Linked DNA regions of Drosophila melanogaster. The protein of the gene in region 1 purifies or fractionates together with the protein of each later gene. This does not show direct contact. Each region holds a gene or a part of one and is shown in the gene's direction. Other genes may lie near its edges. The genes, in order: TpnC4, Idh3g, CG6330 and Mf.

Evidence for each region.
Region 2: the proteins of TpnC4 (region 1) and Idh3g purify together in Drosophila melanogaster (affinity purification with mass spectrometry, with the first as the bait; one large-scale study listed by BioGRID). This does not show direct contact.
Region 3: the proteins of TpnC4 (region 1) and CG6330 purify together in Drosophila melanogaster (affinity purification with mass spectrometry, with the first as the bait; one large-scale study listed by BioGRID). This does not show direct contact.
Region 4: the proteins of TpnC4 (region 1) and Mf purify together in Drosophila melanogaster (affinity purification with mass spectrometry, with the first as the bait; one large-scale study listed by BioGRID). This does not show direct contact.

Annotation. Positions count from the first base shown.
Region 1 is NT_033778.4:5,502,901-5,509,678, reverse strand, and holds TpnC4 (troponin C isoform 4), read left to right. Parts: upstream 1-1,812; 5' UTR 1,813-1,992; coding exon 1,993-1,995; intron 1,996-2,884; coding exon 2,885-2,918; intron 2,919-2,967; coding exon 2,968-3,366; intron 3,367-3,420; coding exon 3,421-3,441; intron 3,442-6,030; coding exon 6,031-6,035; 3' UTR 6,036-6,242; downstream 6,243-6,778.
Region 2 is NT_033777.3:25,678,877-25,684,305, forward strand, and holds Idh3g (isocitrate dehydrogenase (NAD(+)) 3 non-catalytic subunit gamma), read left to right. Parts: upstream 1-1,968; 5' UTR 1,969-2,090; coding exon 2,091-2,147; intron 2,148-2,244; coding exon 2,245-2,322; intron 2,323-2,389; coding exon 2,390-3,169; intron 3,170-3,228; coding exon 3,229-3,415; intron 3,416-3,479; coding exon 3,480-3,555; coding exon of another isoform or gene 3,556-3,559; exon of another isoform or gene 3,560-3,997; intron 3,998-4,181; coding exon 4,182-4,212; 3' UTR 4,213-4,507; intron 4,508-4,596; coding exon of another isoform or gene 4,597-4,597; 3' UTR 4,598-4,904; downstream 4,905-5,429. Other genes in the region: CG5039 (uncharacterized protein), read left to right, coding at 1-23, 97-282, 338-364; CG4743 (uncharacterized protein), read right to left, coding at 490-604, 717-1,132, 1,196-1,462, 1,515-1,610; RpL27 (ribosomal protein L27), read right to left, coding at 5,219-5,429.
Region 3 is NT_033777.3:26,949,603-26,955,029, reverse strand, and holds CG6330 (uncharacterized protein), read left to right. Parts: upstream 1-1,775; 5' UTR 1,776-1,907; coding exon 1,908-2,026; intron 2,027-3,131; coding exon 3,132-3,255; intron 3,256-3,610; coding exon 3,611-3,958; intron 3,959-4,020; coding exon 4,021-4,392; intron 4,393-4,461; coding exon 4,462-4,605; 3' UTR 4,606-4,907; downstream 4,908-5,427.
Region 4 is NT_033777.3:15,177,269-15,182,177, reverse strand, and holds the start of Mf (myofilin), read left to right. Parts: upstream 1-1,907; 5' UTR 1,908-1,970; intron 1,971-2,827; exon of another isoform or gene 2,828-2,856; intron 2,857-2,997; 5' UTR 2,998-3,048; coding exon 3,049-3,139; intron 3,140-3,688; coding exon 3,689-3,898; coding exon of another isoform or gene 3,899-3,957; exon of another isoform or gene 3,958-4,909.

The DNA of each region.
Region 1 (6,778 bases):
TGGGCGTTGAAGTTTTGCGCTGTTTGTGGGCAAAAGACATTGAAAAGAACTCAACAATTTTTCATATGTGTGCGCCGGGCAGTTTGGGACTACAAACCCCGAAACGGGGTTGGCAAGCATTTTAAATTAAAATAATACTGCTTAAAATGTAATGCTTAACCACAACTCTATATGGACAGACAAACGAACATGGCCAAATCGACTTTGCTTGTGATCCTGATCACGAATGTATATACTCTATAGAATCGAAAACGCGTGAAATACTGATTACATTATATAGGATCAGGGGACAAACTGCCCTTCCGCTCATCTGCAGGCGTATTTAAGATCAGATCTGTTGTCTTTCCTAGCAGTTTTTCGGTTAATATTTTCTTGAGGTGTAAGATGACGGACCATTGCCAAATAATCACACTTTGGAGCTCCAGCAGAACTTGAACTGTAATACTCCATTCAAATTGCTAATTGTACATCGCTATATATGTACCTACCTATACGTAGCTTTTAGGGCCATTGGAAAAGAGTGCTTAGGCACATGCATCATTGGCCCACTTGTGGGTTGTAACTTTGTCAATGTGAGAGACGCCACGTAAATCAAGTTTCGGAGCGACAAGTCATAACGGTCATAGCGTCAACGTAAGCCTAAAAAGCCCAGCCATTGGCTATTTCACCGTATAAGACAGAAATTCGTTTTCACAGACCGTCCAACCATCAATAATTAAAAGCCATGATGGAACTATTGTCTTTCACTGGGCGTCTTCCTTGTAGAATGCGACAGTGCCTGCCTTGGGAACGATTCTATAGGCCCAGCAGTCCCCTCCATGTCATCTGCTACGAGATGTAGGCTGTGTACCACATTATTCTAACGTGTGGGCGTGGCAGTTTTGGGCGGCTTGAGGGCGTTAGCGTGAGTCAACAAACTAGCGCTGCGTCTATGTCTCTGGAATGGTAATCTCGACAGACGGAAAGGGTCAGATCGACTCGGCTATTGATCCTGATCAAGAATATATACATACATACATTATATGGTCGGAAACGCTACTTTTCAGCGAAACTAGCACTTTTACTTTACGAGTAACGGGTATAACAAACAATGAGATCACACATTTTTGAAAGTGTGAAGGTAAAATTGGTTTCGTGAAGTACTTTATCTACGATAAAATCATATTAATTAACAACTTTCACTAAATTAATAAAATATAAATAGCTTTCACCCCATTTTGACACTACGTGATGAATGCACCAACTTCGGTAAAATATATGCAATGGTACATTTTGATACTCATCAATTATCGCGCATTTCTCTTGATTAGGTAGATTAGGAAGAAACAGTAACAGGAAAGGAAGCTTGATTCAGTAAGTAAAGATATCTTAAAGATATAAATATTACTGTGCAACGAGGAACGCTTAAAAATATAAGTTCCGCGTAATATTTATGGTTGAACTGTCAAAGAAAATGTTTGTTATTTCCCGTATAGATTAAGTGTTATGGTAAATCATTAATTTAAGAAATATGTTGCCTTTATGGTATCAAAAATACTTAAATTTCTAATTTTATATAAACTAAAAAATAAAAATTTTTAATTGGATTATTGCTTTTACAATTTAAGGAATAAAAGTTTCGGCATAAAGACCACCCTTACTCTTCGAGCGCTTCTTGCTCTTATTTCCTTATCATCGATTAGGATGAAAATTTAGCCGTTTGTATACAGATGTAGTCGCTTACATTTTTATTGTTAGCGTTCGTTCGGAAAAGCTTTGGCATTTTCCATTGCCGATGAACTTAGCTAACATAAAACACAAATCGAATTGTTTAAAAGCTTGGTGATAATTGAAAGTAGCGTACCCTGTTTCTTTAGCTCCTCTTCTGGGACACTTTTTAGATTATCAAAAATATCGTATAGTAATAGTAATATAGTATTTTTATATTATATTTAAAGGGTTTTCCTAAACCTTAGCGGTGTAATTTGATTTAACAAAAAAAAACTCTTTAAAATGGTAAGTTACGATATTATAACTTTGATTAAACTAAAAATTAATGGAGCACATTCTGAATTTTTTATATAAAATTTACTGTTGACTAAATATAAATATAAATATAATTATTTACCCTTGCTATGAAAAAACACAATTTATATAAATATAAATTCCACAAGCGATAAAGTATAAAGTATTAAGTTTGTAAAGTGGTTGGAAATAAGCTGTCAAGGGAAAGTGATTTTTGATATATTTTTTTTTTTGATATAGATAGTGTCTATCTACGTATGAGACAAATAGGAACTTAATTGTCATCACTGCCGTTAATCTGCAGATCATTTTCAAAACATTAAAATGTAGACGACAACGTGCGCTATGTGGATTTTAATAACCAGACAGTGAAGAAGATATTACCTTAAAATTTTTTAATTTATCATTAACTTAGTATTTATTGCAATAACACCCGCTACCCGTTACTCGTAGAGTAAAAGGGTATACTCTATTCGTTAAAAAGTATGTAACTTGCAGAAGGAAGCGATTTCTACCACATAAAGCATAGACATACATTCTTTATCAGGAACAATAGCCGAGTCGATCTAGCCATACATATAAGGGATATATTGTTCTACATCGCTAAAGTAGAGTCTTCGAACATTTATGGTAAATCAGTTGCATACGGACAGACGGGCTACCGAGCAAAAGTTGACTTCGTTACAAAAAATGCACATAAGAAAACGTACCCTTTTTGTGCATGAAAGACATGCATCTGTATGCAATATATTTTTGGAAATACAACATACCCGTCCACCAAACGAGTATAATTATGACATTACTCTTGTAGACACCAGGCTGACATGAACATATAGTTCATTATCTTAAAGATTTTATTATATATCCATACTTCTTTCAGGCCGATGGAGAATACGACAAGGAACAATTGAGAAGTAGTATAAAATTAAACTTTTATTTACTATTTAAAAAACGACGTATTAGTCCTTAGGAACGCCTTCAAGGCTTTCGACCACGACGGTGCAGGATCGATCGAACATGCTGATGTATCTAGCATTCTTGAAATTTTGGGTCAGAAATTAGAACCACCTGCGGTAAAGGCCCTTATTAAAGAGGTCGATAAAGGAACAACTGGTAAATTGGATTTTAGCCAGTTCTGCAAACTGGCAGCTCGCTTTATTGAAGTTGAGGAAGATGTGGGAGCTCTTCAAAATGAGTTAAAAGAGGCCTTCCGTGTATATGATAAAGAGGGGAAAGGATACCTGACAGTTGCAACACTAAGAGGCATTCTTCACGAATTGGACGATAAGCTTTCTAACCAAGACTTAGATATGATTATAGAAGAAATTGATGCGGATGGATCCGGTACGGTTGATTTTGACGGTAAGTAGTTTAATATAATTAATCAAACATTCAATAATAACGTTTTCATTGCAGAATTCATGCAAGTTATGACAGGTAATACATGATACCCTTAAACAAATATTAGTTCCACCTATGTAAAAAAACACATTCAAACAAAACAATATTATTCTGACCTTCTTTACGGTTTGCCGTTTAAGGGTGAAGTGACGATACCACCCACGTGCAAAAAATAATCAACTTGTATGACTACAATTGATATTGCATATATTGCATAAATTATAAATTCATAATATAAAATTTACGCAAACGGCGCCCGTTTTTCTAAAATAATTCCTGTCCACCAAAACATTTTCTATTAAACGATTTATTATCGTATTGCCTTGTAAGGATGTGTTTTTTTTTTATACTTGGTTTTTAATCGTCAACATAACGGCATAAGCAACATCAGTTATGACCGTAAAATGTTGCTTATGCCGTTAGACGATTAAAAACTAAGTGTGCTAAGGTCTCTATACCTAAGACAAGAGAGAAGACCACAGTCCAGTTATGAAATCCTAAAGAAAAATGAAAAAAAAAAATTGGGCGTGGCAGTTTGAGCGGCTTGTAGGCGTTGAAGTGCTGATGGCAAAAAGTTTTTTGGCAAATCGATAGAAATTGTCAAGCTTATTACAAATTTAAAAATATTATAACATATATTTTTTTTTTTTTGGGTATGCGTGCCACGCATATGCATGGCAATGGCTGGGATCCAACGTAGGGTCTTTTCTTTAAGCTTTTCCGGGTTTAAGGTTCTTAGGACCACGATTCCTGTGATCGATTCTGATCCATATGGGCATGTCCGAATGTATGTCCCTAAACATCTCCGCTTCTGGGGAGAATCCTCTGTTACATCCAATACCTCGTGTTTTTGTAGGGTTGCGTTAATCGCTGCTTTACCGTGCCACTTTTTATACAACATGCAAAATGCAACATTTGGTACAAAAGGAATCAATATTATTTACTGACGTGCCAAATGTTCATTGGCAAATAGGAATAGAGGGATGCATAACAAAAACCGGGTGTTGACTTGAGTGTTGATCACCTTACATTAAGAGATCAGTTGAACAAAGAGCGTAAAGTGAAACATCAATGAGAAAGAGTGAAAGTCAGTAAAGTATCAAACTGATCAAATCAAAGTAAACTGGCTTGTTGTGATCAGACTCAATATGGAGTTGGCTTGAGATTAAAGGGTAATGTCAAGGTCCATACAAAGAAGTAAAAAGTAAAGAAAGAAATGTAGACAAGGTTGGCGATGGTGAATGTCCGGTCCTTTAAAAACATCCACCATATCTGAGTTCGTGCCGAATAGCAAGTTAGATGTACCGAATGTTGAAGTTTGAAACAAGCCAGAAGAGCAAGTAGGCAGACAAAAACTGAGAGACTGTCGTTTATGATAATAAAATGACGTCGCAGAAGTATTTGTCTTCAAACAGAGCCCGTTTAGTTACATATATTTTTGACCAGAATTCATCTTCCAACACTGGAAACTCTTAGTGAAAGCACCTATCGATAGAATTGGAGGCAGATTGACTAAGAGAATAAGAACGGTACATAGTGTAAATAAACAACTGGAAGTTACGTAATAGGCAGCAAATTATGAAATTTCTTGGAACATTCCTTTTAGGTCCAGAGGGGGGGAGGGAAGCTGCTCCCCCTGCCCTACCCTGGCGACGCATTAATTGCTTTGTAAACTTCTATAGATTTGCTAAGAAAGTGTCAACATTTTTCGTTCCCCCTCCCACTAAATGAGTAATGAGTATCTGATAGTCCAGTAACTCGACTAGAAGGCAGATGACAAAATGACACCGATAAAAATTGGTAGAAAAAACATGATATTATAGAATGCTATAGTCCAGTGCCTCGACTATCAGATACACGTTACTCAGCTGATAAATTTAAAAACAATAAATATGCCTCCATATATGGATGTTATATATTTGCCGCCCGAATAAGCTACCGATTGGGCGTGGACAACATGTTTTTGGTATATTTTCAACACATTTAAGAAGTGTGTGTGTGGCGTTAGAGGCGCGACAAAATTGAATTTTATATATATATATTTTTTTATTATATATTTTATAAAATAAAATGTTATAAAATATCAACATATTTTTAAGACATAGATTAAGATTCCTGAGACATAGACGAAGTGCAAGGTTGTTTCTCAATTTTGCCACGCCTACTTTTACGCCCACAAGCAAATCAAAGCTGCCACGACCACACTTTTTAAAATGTTTTTATATTATTCATTTTTGTATACGTCTTATTAATTTCTATTGATATGCCAATACCCAATCTTCACAAATCTGCCACGCCCACACTTTTGAAAAATTTTTTGATTATACCAAACAATTTTGGACGCCCCTTCTAGCACCTATAAAACGACCAAAACTGTCACGCCCACCTTTTTTTAAATTTTTTAATATTTTTAATATATTATTCTCTATCTAATTCTATCGATATGCCAGAAAAATTATGAAAATTCCCATTTTCCCTTCCACTAGCTGAATAACGGGTATCTGATAGTCCGGTAACTCGACTATAGCATTCTCTCTTGTAATTTCAAATATTTCGTTCCTTATCCTTATATTTCGTTATATAAATATAAATATTTTTATAAACACTAAAACTTTTCTCTTCCAGGTTGACCCACATTGCTCTTTTTTGACATGCTGTGCAAAAGCTCAGATATGGCAGACAATGCAAAATCAAAAATACATAAAACAATAATAGCCATTAGTTTTGTGTCAAATATTATAAATAAAATTTGATTGAAATGTATTAGCATCATTTTTCTCTTATCTAATTTAAATATAAACAAATATCGGGCCAAAAGCAGATAAGGCCGATGTACGAACAGACGGATGAACATATGTGGTAAAGTAACAGGTGTGGCAAGGCTGTACTGTTTCCTCTTCTCCTTGCGTTCTTTGATGCTTAACTTATTTCATTTATTTTCAATGTATGGGAATAAAGCGACAAATTATCTGAGATTGGGAATAAATGTGTTAGAGCGTGACCGATAGTGCTGTTGCTGAACGTGGTTAAAGTGCGAAAGAGATACGAGAAAAGGAAATGAACCATGCTAGAGGCGAGAGCGTCAGTTGTTGGTTAGAAGCCAAAGCAGATAGAAGAACTCGTTGATACCTCAGCCTTACAAAATAGATTACATTTTACAGAAAAGATGTACAACAACACTCAAAATCCTTATGAGCCGATATCAAAAGTGGGATCTGTGCCGCACCAAAGACACTAGAATAGTGTCTTTGGCCGCACCCTGCGATTTCCGAGGGAACAGTGGCGTGCAGTTCTCGAAATGCAATACGGAATTTCGATGAACTTGCGAAAATCATGCAAGCATCGCCGTCATGTGAGCAGTAGCATACACTAG
Region 2 (5,429 bases), on another chromosome or scaffold:
GCATTTTCGTTCTGGCTGCACTGGTGCGTTATCGCCACAGTCTGTTTGTTTAAGTGGATGTACATTTGTTTAATTTATGCATTTGGGTGTACACAGGTCTACGCCATGTCACGTAGTCGCTGTCGGAATTCCTGGGATTGCCTAAAGAGCAGGAAGGCTCCGCGAAGTGGATACATCAATGTGGATGAGGAGGATTCCGATGTGCCCATGGACTGCGGAGATGAACTGGGAGATCAAAGGACTACTGCTACTCTCCTCACTGGTCGCCTCCACATTCAGGATGTCAGTGAGCTCGTGACAATGTCCCAATACAATCACAGCCCTTTTTCTTCCACAGGGAGCGAATAACGCCTCCAATGCCTAGTGAATCTCAAAAGTCTTCCATACACTTTATTGTCCACGTTGTCTTCAAACGGTGGTTGTCATCGGTTTAGTTACTACTGCAAACTACGTGCCTCTACTACAAGTACAACGAAAATAACCCTAATTTTAATGATCCGTACTGGTGGCGCCAAGGATTCGCGTCGTCAGGTCGTAGAAGCCAAAGAAGAATGCACCGCCCAGTGTGATCCACAGCACACGCGGCACAAAGCCAGCAAACAGACTGAAAAGTAACATCGAAGTACATTAATAAATGTAATAAATAGTTTTGTAAAGTTAATTTGTGTTTAAATATTAGGACCAGCTTGAGTTGCGTCTAATATGGAAATAATTACCCGCTGAAGCCTCGCTCCAGGTAAATGCCATGCAAAATTCTTCGGGCACTGCGACGTCGGTTGAGACTCTCCCTTTCAGCCAGCATAATTCGGGTTTTGACCACATCGAGCGGCGTAGTTAATCCCGCTGAAATGCCTCCAGCGACAGCTCCACAAAGAGCCACCGAAAAAGGAGTGGAATCGAAGCCGGTCAGGGGAGTCCATTGCAGCTTAAAGTACTCCCAGAGCGGAAACTGTATCAGACTAAATGGAATCTCCCGCATGATAGTGGAACCAAATCCCCTGTACAGACCACGTTTCAATCCCTCAGTGCGATAGGCACGCAGTAGAATTTGCAGGCCGGACTGTTTGTTGCCCTGCAATGTTTGGGAGCGTTGCTTGGCAATCTCCACGGGAACTCGGATCAAGCATGCCAACTATTGGATACAGAGATTCTTCAGATCTAAATACGAGGTGCTCAGTTTTATATGAAATCCTACCACTTCTGCTGCTGAAGCCGCTGCCATGTGAACATAGGGTGAATCTTTGGTTTGGGTGACCGAACTAAGGAACTGCTTTCCGCACTCGTAGGTGCAGAAAAACAGGGCCGCCGTGGGAGCACTTCCTGCAGCCGCAGGAGCGAGTCCTTTGTAGATGCCCCTGAATCCTCCTGCCCGCCAAAAGCCCAGCTCGCTTTGCAGTCGGGTCTTCACTGTATCTATGGGAAACAGCGCTATGTCCACTACCATTCCAGCCACTCCTCCTGCCTAAAACTAATTATTTAAGAACTAACTTTTCATTTAATTTTCATCTACTTACAACAAGTGCATGGAAAAATTTTAATTTATTGACCGGCTCTTGCATTTTGATTGCCACGGACCCCGCGGCCGATTCCAGACCCAATTCCGCTGCCATGTCCTAGAAATGATGTTGGGGCATCCACTTTAAGTCATCCCGTCGGAGTATTAACTAAAGTTGTTTTAGTAAACAAAAACATAAAATGTGGTTGTTAACGTAACAGTCAGCTGCTTTTTGCTGATCTGGCAGGTCTGCAGATAACAGCTGCTTGGTGTAGAGTTGCCAAGATGCTGAAACCATAACAAATAAATATATTCTATGTAAGATATATATTATTTGGTCAAAAGTGTTACTTAAAAAAAGGATGGTATTGAAATGTTAGCTTTTTCACAAAAACACATAATTATAATACATTTTTTTTACACCAAAGTAATTATTTTAAAACCAATACCATTTACTTGACAACCCTGAAAAGCCGTGGTTCTGGGCAAGAGCCAGCAGCACCGTTTTGGCCAAGTGGAATAAAATTGGCTGTGATTTAACTGATAGTAGAATACCAACTGCAGCGGTAGAAAACAATAATCCAAGGATCAAATCATGGCCCTTCGCTTGACCCAGAGATTGCTGCAGACGCAGACGCCGTTCCTCACTCGCGTAAGTTTTCTCGGCCGGAAAATTGGCCCACAAAGGCAAATTACATAATGCGCGCCTGCCAGATCCTATTGATCGTACTTATCGATTCGAATTGTAGGGCTATCCCTTGCTGGTGACCAAGGAGAAGACCGAGGATGTGGCCCACACCAAATCGGCGCTGCAGAAGAAAGTCACGGTGAGTGCAACCTCTGGAGCTCACCCCCAATTGAGGTTATAGCATCCGTATATATCTTCGTGAACAGGGCACCGATATTCCCTCGGCACAGTACGGAGGTCGTCATGCCGTCACCATGCTGCCGGGCGGCGGCATTGGTCCTGAACTGATGGGCTATGTGCGCGAGATCTTCCGGTATTGCGGTGCACCCATCGATTTCGAGGTGATCGACATCGATCCCTCCACCGAGGGCAACGATGATCTGGACTATGCCATCACATCGATTAAGAGGAACGGAGTGGCACTCAAGGGCAACATCGAGACCAAGTCCCAATCCTTGACCGAAGTCTCCCGCAACGTGGCCATCCGTAACGAGCTGGATCTGTACGTCAATGTGGTGCACTGCAAGTCGTATCCGGGCATTCCGGCCCGCCATCACGACATTGACGTGGTGCTCATCCGCCAAAACACCGATGGCGAGTACGCCATGTTGGAACATGAGTCTGTGCCCGGAATTGTGGAGAGCATGAAAGTGGTGACCGTCGAGAATGCCGAGCGTGTGGCCCGCTACGCCTTTGAGTTCGCCCGCCAAAACAATCGCAAGAAGGTTACCACCATTCACAAGGCCAACATCATGAAGCTGTCCGATGGTCTCTTCCTGGAGGTTGCCAACCGTGTGCACAAGGACTATCCCGAACTGGAGCACAACAACATGATTATCGACAACACCTGCATGCAGTCCGTGTCGAATCCTCACCAGTTCGACGTGATGAACATGACCAATCTGTACGGCACCATCGTGTCCAATGTTCTTTGCGGTTTGATGGGCGGAGCTGGCCTCATATCCGGCAGGAACTACGGTGACCATGTAAGTCTCTTTCTCTTTTGCTTAACCCATAGTCTTTCAGTTTTGTCATATAATTTTAGTACGCCATCTTTGAGCCTGGCACCCGTAACACCGGAACCGCCATTGCCGGCAAGAATATCGCCAACCCTGTGGCCATGATCAGTGCCAGTATCGATATGTTGAACCATCTGGGCCACAAGGAGCACGCCAATGTCATTCAGGAGGCCGTCTACCAGACCATTGTCAACGATGCCATTCGCACGCCAGGTGATCACGTCTCTCGTAGTTATTCAATAAACAGAATCACCTTTATCATCTAAATCTCTTACAGATATTGGCGGCACCAACTCCAGTACCGATGTGGTTGAGAATATACTCAAGATCTTGAGTGCCAAGCGCGTGAATTGGTAAAATAATCGTCTGCATTTAGAGTAGTTCTATATGTTCTTTTATTTCGCTGTCACAACCAAGTGTTGTATTTTCTATTAAGTTTTAAGCAAACAAACATCTATCGCTTGTCCCCTTTTACTTCACTGTCGCGATGGGCCCAGCGTAGGCGGGCCTTCTTGTATTATAATTTCATGCTGTTATTGTATTATTTTAATTACTTACTGATTACTTCAGCAGAACTGTAAGTGTTATTGCCGAATTGGCCTAACTGTGTCCTAACCAACCAGCACACCACAGACTTCACTTAATCACTAACTTTTTGGTTGCCTTATATCTTTTAGTTTTAAGTACTTCTTCTTGGGTGACACATGCTCGATTGTCACCTATAAGAGGCTACTTAAAATTTGTTTATATAAATTGGACTTATGTTTAGCAATTGCTTCGTTGAACTATTTTCTATTGTATATTTGTCCTAAGTAGTGCCCCAGTAGAACACACTACCACACACATTCAGTACACACAAGTATGTAGTATTTTCGTTTTGAACGTGTAACCAAATTGTCCTTGTGCAGCTCTAATGAACAAAATTATTCTGTTTTTTCTCCTCTCCCTGAAAATCCAAAAACGCTTTACCGCTCCGCAGGCCACATGGAAACTATTTTAGCCAAATTTAGGCACTATCGCACTACCGAATTCAACCAACTGCTAACAAATTCAGCAAGATAAACCAAATCGAACCAAGTCTAATACAAAAAAAAAAAAAGTCAAAATTTTATTAACCCCACAACTAAGCCAATTTGAGACATCTTGTACCCCAAAGCCAATGCATTCAGCGTTAATGTGATGCCCAGAAAAATCGGTATAATCAAATCGAGGTTGAATTATTCCGCTGCTTAACCCAAACAAAATATGTTACCCCGGCTAAATGTCCATTGTGTGTTCATTCGATGTCCAAGTGTGATAATTCAGGTAATACAAACTCCAAATATTTTTTAGCTTCATTTATCCCCAGGTTCGATTGATAAGATTCTAATCCAGTTTTATCTTATATTCCACAGATTTTCTTGCCGGCCCTATCCAATGTTTTTGCACTCTGAATCTTTCTTTTAAACTCCCTACTGAAAGCTGTATATTTTCTTTTATTTTACTTAATTTCCAAAATACCCTAAGGCAACAGTTCATGAACAACAAGAATAACACACTTTGAGCTCTTCAAAAGCCAAGCAAGTTCCACAAGTAGTCAATCAAAGCGATATTAAATTGTAAATTTTCCAAAAGATTTGTAATATTGAAAAGTTGATTCAAACAAAATGTATTATTCTGTTCGAATATTTATTAGTAAAGGAAAAAGTAAAAAAGACACTGTAACTATTATGTTTTGGATTCGGGCGGTTAAGGCTATGGAATTTGCACTATATTTTAAAATGATCCAGAAGCGAATTTGATATTTTGCCTTATATTTTGAAATTTGTTGATGACTTGGGTCCAAATACCTCTTGTACACTTCCTACTCAAAGTATTCTATATACTTTCATCACCATAGGCACGTTTGTCCCACTTGCACACTTAATAAGAAGGCACAGGATCCACTTCGGTCAGTTTTATCAGAATTACTTCTTTGTTTATTAAACCTTAAAAAAGAGCGACAAATCCAGTAACCACAAGTAGCGAATGGGCAGCTTAGAAACGCAGCTTCTGGAAGAACCACTTGTTCTTGCCCTCCTTGTAGACGGACTCGAACTTGACGCGGGTCTGGAAGCGGTGCGTCTTGCGCTTTACGGGATCCTTCAGGTCCTTGGGCGACAGCTTCTCAAAGCTGATGTCGTGCGCCGTGTAGCGGGTGGGCATCAGATGATTGTAGTTCAGGCTCTTCAGGAAGGGCTTGACCTTG
Region 3 (5,427 bases), on another chromosome or scaffold:
ATTGTTCTAGCTTGCCATATCCTAAGACGTACTGGGTTACCCATAAATAGATCAAGTGCTTGAGCTCACAATGAAAAGACTAGATCCATGGCAGTGACATTTGTTGCTGCCAGTGACAGTCAAGCTTACCCATGGTAACCAACCAAGTGGAATGACCCAAAGAAACGACTTGAAATGGCCACGATTGCGTACTCATCTCAAATTACAAAGGGTACCTCAAGAAGCACTTTAGCGATGATATGACGAAAACAAACTCGAATATCGTTATTGAACCACTTTTCATGATTTGTGTTGGTTAATGAGTTTTCTTTATTTCACTGCCCATTCAAACGAATATCACAGCAAGTCTCGCATAGTTTTGGCTTATATAAACAACGATTTTTATTTGGCTTTGCAGCTGGCAAAGTCCATCAATGGTAGTTACGGGGAATCGGCCAAGTTAATTACGAGTATGGCCATTAAGTGAATTCCACCGCTGCCGCACTCTGCTCACCGCCAAAATGCGACCTCAAAAACCAAATTGTGAGCCGCGTCACGTACATAGAAGCCAACCTCTCTTTCTATTGCAATCGCGCTGTCTCTCTCTGTCTCTGTTATTACTTGCCTCCCTGTCTCTGTCTGGTTCTCTTTCCCTCTTGTGAATTGCTATGCCAACATAGCCGAGCCCCCTTTTCGACTGCTTTTGACTGAGCTTTGTTTTTGCCTTTTGCTCTTTTCTTTTTTTTAATACCTGGTACTTGCGCGTTTGTCGGGTATATTGCACTATTGTAGCACCACAAGACGTTGTACTATATATGCGTATATATAATAATAATATATGCATATATAATATATAAATAAATTTAGATGTCAACAGTTTAAAAATCGTTTTTGTAATGTATGTAAAAGGTACAAGTTATCTTATAGCCTTACCCGTTTTTATTTATTTTTCTTTCTGTTTGTTTAAGTTCCCTCTTTTCTTTGCTGATTGTTTCGCTTTCTGCTTGCCAGTGTGAGTGCAGGAGTAACTGTGTGTGGGCAATGAGCTCCTCTTTCGTTTGTCTTTCGCTGTCGTCTGTTTATGTATATTTAATGGCCTGACTTCGAAATTAAAGCCACCGACATCGGATGACGCACTGGTGACTGGGCCTACAATAGTGGTAGTTGCGCTGCTCACATTCTTGTCCATGGCGAAATATTTCTTTTTGTAGAGTTACTTTGAGTTACGATCACAGGGTGCCTAGTTTCATGCGAATAGTTGCCAATTGTGGGCAACATTAAAAATAAATTAACCGAATTGGTCTTATTTGCATCTAATTTGCAAATATCAGAGTTGAAGAATGTGTAGCGAAATAGGTATCTCAAAAACCCGTTTAAAATATACAAAACCAAAAATTCCAAGCCAATTTGCATGAATTTAAAGTTGAAATGTTATACTAATGATTCGGCTAATTGGACCTGATCGAACACCCTGTTCATACAGCGAATAAAGCAGCGAAATTGCAATAATTGGATTACGCAAATCCGTTATGCTCGGCTGCAATTTCGCCTCAAGGCTCGTGGCCAATTGCACTTGATTAGTGATGCATAAGTCGCTCTGAACTGATAACAATCTGTATCTATGTATGTATGTATGCCATTCTATAGAGGTTTCTATTACACGACCATACAGTGTGCAATATATTTTCATTTCCACTATCAAATTGCGCAGCATAACTTCCGATTCGCCGAGAAGATTGTCTTATCTACACAGCTCAGCAGAAGCGGCCTATATAAAGGCCGGCGAAACGCAAGAAATTTTTTCAGTCTCGCTCGAAGCGTTGACGTGTCTACACGAGTAACTAGTTTTGTTTTGGCTCGCTGGCTGCTCCTTCGTCTGGTAGTTGGTAGTTCGTTTGTGAGTTAAAGGACATTCGAGAGGTGACATCATGCCGCCCACCATAACCGATAATCAGACGCACGACTTTAAGGCCCACTACGATTGCGCCCACAGGTCCTCGCTGCAGGACGACGAGACGGACGATGCGTACGTGAAAAGGATAACGCGGTAAGGATGCTGAAACCGGTTTTTGGTCCTGCAGCTGCTTCTTAAGTCAGCCGGGGGTTGTTTCATTTGGCGCGAGAAAGTTGCTCTGGAAATTTCTCTGTTTGCTAGCAACAAATAACAGCCGTTTTCTATTGAAAAATGAAAACAAATGCAAATCAAAATCCATCTGCAATGCAGTCTATAGTTTGCCTGATGTCAAATCGCTGTGTTGGCACAAAACCAGCTCTTCATCTGAGCAAAGAACGCCAATGGAAAACAGAACGCTTGGCCAGTTGGCACAATATTTGCACAGACCGGTGGGTGTGACGCCTACTCGATTACCCTGTATTCATTTCAAAGATCACTTTTCATCCTATCCGATTTCCGAGCTCATCAAATCATAATTTATGCTTCAATCGGATGTTTGCCGGAGTGCTTACGAAATATATTCACTTCGCGCTTATCAATCAAGGTCAAGACTACACGGGGTTTTCATTTGATTATGCTAGAGTCATAGACATTTTGCTTTTTGTTTTGCTCACACTTCTAACATGTTTTTTTTCCGACTCCCCGTTTGACGCACTTGATAATGATATTGGTTGGGTATTGGTGCTCTCTAGACCCCCTACATCGCAAGGGGGGTCTCTATAAATAAAGTCACTAATACACGAATCAATTCTGATCCAAATATTGATTAGAAATACGAAATTTGAATCTGTCATTTTGTGGCCATTAAATACTCGAATAGTGCTTACTCACGATTGTGTGACAAAATTGTGTGTATAAGTAATGTATATTTCATAAAAATTAGCTCATAACAATGTGTTTTTGCTAAGCATTACCTAAAAAATAAATAATTATTCCAGCGATGACGAATTTCTTCCTGCCCATCCCAACTGATTACACTTTTGGGGGGCTTGTTCGGCCACCGATTTTCTAGGAAACACTTAGATAAACTTATCTTTTATCAGAAAACGAGCATTTTTAAGTGTGATTTACTTCTGACAGCTGAAAGTAATTAACTCATTCATTTCTTGGCCTGAAGTGGGCGTTTATTTATGGCCCCCGCTGGCGGCGAATAGAATTTAATCCTCATTAATTCGTTTTGCATTCGCTTTAATTGCAGGTACTCCGATGGAACCGTCAAATTGCGCAACTCGAACATTGAGCTCATGGACCAGGATATCCTCTATCACCTGGCCTTGGGCAGCGAGAGCCACGACCTGCAGGAGATGTTTGGCGACGTTAAGGTGAGTGGTCTCTTGAATTATTCATAGTCTGAGGCGGTTAAAGACTAGACCCAGACCTAGACCTTGATTGTTATCAAATCAAGTGGGGCACAAGCGAAACGAGTTCATTAGCTGTTGCCAATTAAGCTAATTATATGCTTAGTCAGATTCATAAACTTAATAAATATATCAATGTGCTAATCTAGTACTGGTTCGATTTGCGATTTACAATTAAGGGTATGTTTTATATAAATAATTATATAGTCATAGATTGCAATACCAGCGGTATTAGTAATTTACAAATCTGAAACACAATGCCGGTTATTCCCCTTCTAAAAGCTCACTCAATTAATCCGTGTCTGTCTTTGACTTTCAGTTCGTTTGCATGGGCGGCACACCAAAGCGCATGGAGAATTTTGCCCATTTCATAATGAACGAGATTGGCTACAAGTTGCCAGCGGGCACCCAGCTGCAGGACATCAGCGCCTATTCGTATCGCTACTCCATGTACAAAGTGGGACCGGTGCTGTGCGTCAGCCATGGCATGGGTACGCCCTCGGTCAGCATCCTGATGCATGAGATGATCAAGCTGATGTACCACGCCAAGTGCAAGGATCCCGTCTTCATCAGGATAGGAACGTGCGGAGGAATTGGCGTCGACGGCGGCACCGTCATCATCACCGAAGATGCCCTCGATGGGCAGCTGAGGAACTCCCATGAGTTTGTAAGTCGTGGCTGAAATATCACCTCAAATGCGATAGATGACCCTAAACACTTGATTTGCAGACCATTCTCGGCAAGACCATCCATCGTCCTGCCAAGCTGGACAAAAAGCTGGCCCGTGAGCTAAAGTCCCTGGCCAGTCCCGATGATCCGTACGATACCATTATTGGCAAGACGCTGTGCACCAACGATTTCTACGAGGGCCAGGGTCGTTTGGACGGCGCATTCTGTGATTTCAGCGAGAACGAGAAGATGGCCTATCTGGAGAAGCTGCGCGAGAACGGCGTGGTCAACATCGAGATGGAGAGCACCATCTTTGCGGCCCTGACCCACCATGCCGGCATCAAGGCAGCGGTGGTGTGTGTCGCCCTGCTGAACCGCCTCAATGGGGATCAGGTCAACGCGCCCAAGGAGGTCATGAACGAGTGGCAAGCGGTGGGTGATCCCGACTAACTCCCCCTCTCAATGGAATGTAATTGAACATATGATTTTTCACCCAAACAGCGTCCGCAGATCCTCGTGTCGCGCTATATTCGCAAGGTCCTTACGCACAATGGACAGCTGAAGGCGCTATTCGGACACCAGGGATCCATCAAGTCACCCCGGCGCTTCAAGCTCGTCCAGCAGGAGTCTCAGGCCCACGAGTAAATGGGATCATGTGACCAGTTCCATCTCATTTCACCTTCTTACATTATATGTGCGCATCTCTCCAGTATACAATGATGTTTCAACATTCCCTAGTTTAGCTCTGATTAAGTTCCTAGCTTTATTTCTGTGTATATCGCCCACAACCTCATCGGATAATTTAAAACCGATCATATTGTACGTGCATATGTTCATATGTTACCACAATTTAATATATATATGTATATCAATAATATATAAAAATAGTATCACTGAGTGTGACGTTCAAAGGTTATCAGAAATAAACGCTTTTGAGATCACAAAACAAATAACGAATAATATAGAAGAATTATGAAATTGTTAATTGTTATGTTGCATATTTTAAATGGGGCTAATCTATTAAGCAAAGATTCAACAATACCAAACAAAACTAAATGCTACATTTCCATTTTATAAATTATTATATTATAATGTATTGAAATTCCTAAAGATTTGTTAAATGTACGTGTTGATTAGTGTTGCTACCGTACACTCGACTCTAAACCAAATCCAACAGCACTTAATCTTTCTCTGTCTAGTTATATCCAAATTAAATGAAAACAATACGATGAAGAACAAAATGCTGAAAATAACATCAATACAATTACGGATAGCACACGATAAAACCAAATATACAAGTTATATTGTAAAAAAACGAAATTTATGACAAATATTTCAACGGTATATTAAAAGAAATTGTAATTAAATTATACAAACCACTTAACGCGATTTCATTTTTTGGTGGCTAAAAGATCATACCAAAACAGTTATTTTTCCATTATTTATTTGCATTACATATGTATATAT
Region 4 (4,909 bases), on another chromosome or scaffold:
ATAATCGTCCTTCACATTGAGAAAGCAATTTATTACACACCAAGTGCGAAAGTAATAATATGTATATAATTTATATGCATTCACAGTGCATTTGACTTTCTGACAGCTAAATGTCTGCTCTCCTCATCTGAAATTAAATGCAGTTTGCAATTAATTTGGGTATAAACTGCGATATAAAATATGGCGAATTTGCGAAAGCAAATTGTTTGACGTTGCTTGCATATGTGCCCTCTAAATAATGAGCTTACATTTTGACCCCATTTCCCAAGGGACATAAATTTCTCTAAGATAATTATTTTGTAAGCCGCTAGGCCAATTAAAATATTTTTAAAATAACTAAATTTTATTTGAGATTCCTTTTAAGGGTATGCAATTCCTAGCCAATTTTTGTGTCTCCTTGAGCAAAACATCAAAGATGTTGGAACAAACACAATCAAGCGCCAATAAACTAAAATAAATTAAAATGAAAAACCTGAAAAAAAAACGAAAGTAAAATAAAAAGTTGCTCAATTCATTGTTCTGTGAAGCCAAAAAAGTGTGCCAGAAAGTAAAAGTTGAATCACATCACCGAAATCACTGATTGGCCGAAAGAAAAACCTTTGCCAGGTATTTCCCAATTTCCCGTGAGTTTTTGTGCATTTTCATTTGATTTTCGATTTGGTTCATCAAACCGCATTCGGTTCATTCAAAGTCAAGTTCAAGTTTAAATGACGCCGCCCGCCTGTTTAAGGGTAAAATTCACAAACAAGATTTATATAAGCTAAACAAACAAAGTCAAAAGAACATTTGGATGCAAGTGCATTTGGCCTTGAGTTTATCGGCGGAAAAAGAAAACACATGCAGGAAATTCTGTAAGCGATCTGCACGATTGAAAAGGTCAACATGATCTCCATGAATGTATTTACTATTATTAGAAACATATGTACTCCCAGATCTGCCCTTCAACTCGTTTCGATGTAATTGTATATGATGGGGGAAGCTTTACCCATCTTTGTTTATTCGTTTTCGTAGGAATTTCCCTGGAAAATTTGTGTTTAGATTATCAATCATTGGGTCGCACGTGAGCAAAAAAGATATACCCTACAGGAGGGTATAATCGAAAAAAATGAGTTACTAATGTTTTAAATAATCAATTAACGGCAAATTTTACATAACAAGCTAGAAAATATCAAACTATTCATACAGATTTCATTATAAATAATATATTGTGTGCTTAAAGTATCTATTATTTGGTTAAATGTATCTGGACCAGTTTTGTTTATTTACCTGTGTGGGCATGTTGCTGGAAATGATTTTTCCATTATCAGGAAACTAAATTATAGCTAATGCCAAAGCCAAAAGAAAACATAAACAAATAAACGGAATTTAAATGCTTTTATGGCAAAAATTCCATCGGCCTCTAACCACATTTTGAATTAGTTAGTTACAAAAAACCAAATATTGTAATGTATTAGTTAGAGCTTATAGTTCACTGATCAATTCAATACCACAAGTGACGCCTTTCCCTTGAAACATTCAAAGAATATGTTAAAATTATGAAAAACCATAGGAAAAACAAAAACAGAAAATAGGGTGTGGGATTTTCTGAAAGAAATATGGGCTCATATGTATTGTGTATGTGTGGTATGACTTGGCTGGCTTTCTTTTTATGATCATCGCCAGCGTCATCGCGATTTCGGTATTGAATCGTTGCAAACAATGAGTGGGTGCCACCACACGATCTATCAGAATGTGGTGGGAAAGCTTTCCCATAACCAATCTCCGGAGCTTTGCCACACAGATGCGATGAAAATCGCTCACGGATAGAGCAACCTACGCCGTAAAGGAATGCGCCGTGCTTTTGGTGCCGAAACGGAATGGCAAAATTCTGAAACGAGGAAAATTGGTGAGGCGAATTTTCTTGGGGTTTGCAGTTTGAAAAAATTCTTCGTTGAGGATAGATCGCTATTTTTTAGGAGTAAATTTAAATTGTAAGCGAACCCGAAACATATTAAACAACATACAACTGAATAGTAAATTAAATAATTATAAACGAAATGAAAAACAATAAAATCAAATTAAATAAAGTGCACCATCACATCTGAATGTGGAGACGAACAATTAACTGGTGAAATAATTATGGAATTATGATCGCATTATGAATGATCCGATATGTTCCATAGCGAAAAGACATTGACTATAATTATATAAGAGAGATCGTACTCAATGACATTTGATACCGAAGTGTTGGAGCTCATCAAGAGTTTGTGCAGTGAAATATAAAAAACAAAAATCCCACATTGAATTAAATTCAAAATTAATTTAGTTTAATGGATAATAAAGGCCTATTTTAAACATACTTCAACTAAATTGTTCTTAGACTTTGCACACTTCTTCGATACTTAAGTAAATTCCGCTAAAAGCCAGAATAACAGAACGATTTCAACTCAAGGACATTTAAAAATAAAACCCAATTTAGCTGCAGCTTACACACAGATACACTTACATCCACTCACCCATTTACACGCACACACTGACGACACCTAGAATATTTGTTCTCATACTCAGAAGTGTGAAATTTGCTATGCAACAAAAAAATATTTTTATATTCGAGCAACCAGGAGAATACCACGATACATGAAAAATCACAAAAACCGAACCGAAATATATTTATTTTTAGTGAGATTGATCTTGCGTTAGCTGCTGTTGCCCGATCGCGGTATTATATTAGATTTTATGTATATGTTTTATAAACTTTGCACTGCTCTAAAGTGGCACACAGTCTGTTTATTTTCGAACCGAGAGACTTTCAACGCGAAAGCAAAAAATTCAACTGAGAAAACATCCCATCAATCGAGAGACAAGCGATTCGAATTCGTGCGTGCTGCCTGGCATTTCCCGGGAAATAGATTAAATTGAAAACGGACAAAAAAAAAAAATAAAATAAAATAGGCGGAAAGGAAATTTGAAACACATTGGAAAATTGCTAAGCCATCTCTCTTCCCAACTTTATTACAGCGAACGAGTTCAACGATTTTTTCGTGAACAGAACAAAACAAATCGATCAAAATGTTCAAAAACCACTTGGAAATGATTGGGCGCAATGAGAGCCCCAGCAAGAAGGCGAAATTCTGGCAGTCCTACATCAGGTCCCTGAAGGGTAAGCATTCACTAAATAAGCTCAAAAATTACATTAAAAGATAGGATAGTTATTCAAAACTACTATTGATTGCTTAGTCACAATAGTAGGGAGTTTGCATAGTTCCAAAATAATTCAAAAAACAATTGAAGATTAACTCGAAGTGTTCCCATTTCGATATGATTAAGGGACACTCAAAAGTGATATTATTAAACTCTGGTCGCCAGTGAGCAACACAAATAGCTTAGCCTATATGTGTATAGTCTATTTATTTTGGCAGGTGTCATATCAGCCAAGCTATATACTTAGACACGCTCTGCTGGGAAAGCTTTTCGCCATAGTATATTCGAATATATAGAGAGAAATTTGTAAAATATATATGCTCAGGCCTTAAACAAAGAATAGGCTAAAATATAGGATACACATACAGGGGGCGCATCTATGATAGAAACCGAATAGAAATCATACATTTCTGCAGCGCTGGCATTGAGCCAAATAGTGAGAATAGAATAGCCGAAATATTTGAAAAGCAATGAACTAACGCGTCGTTATCCAAACAACTATTTATAGGCTCCGAGGATATCCGTGCCCACGAGGCGCCCCGTGCCTCTCGTCCCTACAGCTCCTACCTGGACTCGCCCTCCTACAGGAGCATCTATGACGAGCCCGCCACCGCCAATGAGCGCGTCCAGTCCTCTGGCTACAGATATCTGCCAGTGAGCCGCGACACCTACGGCTACTCGCCCCGTGCCATCTACGATCATCACTACAGCCGAACAAGTAAGTTGGTACCATATACGGACCACATACTGTACTATCTACAGCCGATTCCCGCCTAACTGCTTCACACAGCCGAGTATCTGTATCTTAATGCTTCCGAAATCGGTGGCCTTGCAAATGTGGATATTGAACTAAGATATCCTGTTATTACCATTTAAAGTATATTTCAAATAATATAGATAAATGATTATGATTGTTTACATAACAAATTATCCGCCATGAAACTAAAAGATATTTTTAACATTCTTGAAACTGGAATAGTAACATAGATGAAATTCAGGTTCAAAAGTTTATGTCAATGCTTTCAATCTAGTTTTTTAGAAAAAAACGTTTAAAATTTTAATTAAAATTTAAAATTAAAAAAGGCAATCACCTGATTGTTATTTGCAAGGTTACATAAGCTTCGGTCCATCCGAACGCCACAAGTTCTTTCAGCCTTTCTGCTTCGCTTCGATGCGCCATCCATCAATCAGTCAGTCAGTCAGTCAATCAGTCAGTCAATCAGTCGAGTCATTACAATCATCTTACAACTGCAATCTCGCCACTGCCTGCTATTGAAGCTTTTGACAACACCTTGAATATCTCAAAACCGCCATATTTTTATGCGTTTCATTTGAGATGAAAACTGGTGCGAGCGCTATGATTTCATAAATTTAAAAATAAAAATGGACAGCGCCAAACGGCCAAATACAATTACGTCAATGAAAATTTTCGTTTCGTATCGTTTCGTTTCGCCTCGGTCGTGTTGATTTTGGCAAAAGGCCTCAAAAATGAACAAAAAAAATAAAAAAAATGAAGACAATAATATAGGCAACACACACAGGCGCTATATATCAAGTCAGGTATATAAGCGGAATTTTTGACTCAATTTTTTTTTTCGGTGCGTGCTCTGGGATCAAATGACTGTGGCGGCCCTCGGTGCGCGGAAACCGAAGTTCTCTTTTCCGATTTTCCGAATTTCCACACACTCACACACTGGCAAAAGCCCCAAGCACCCAAATCCGAACACCC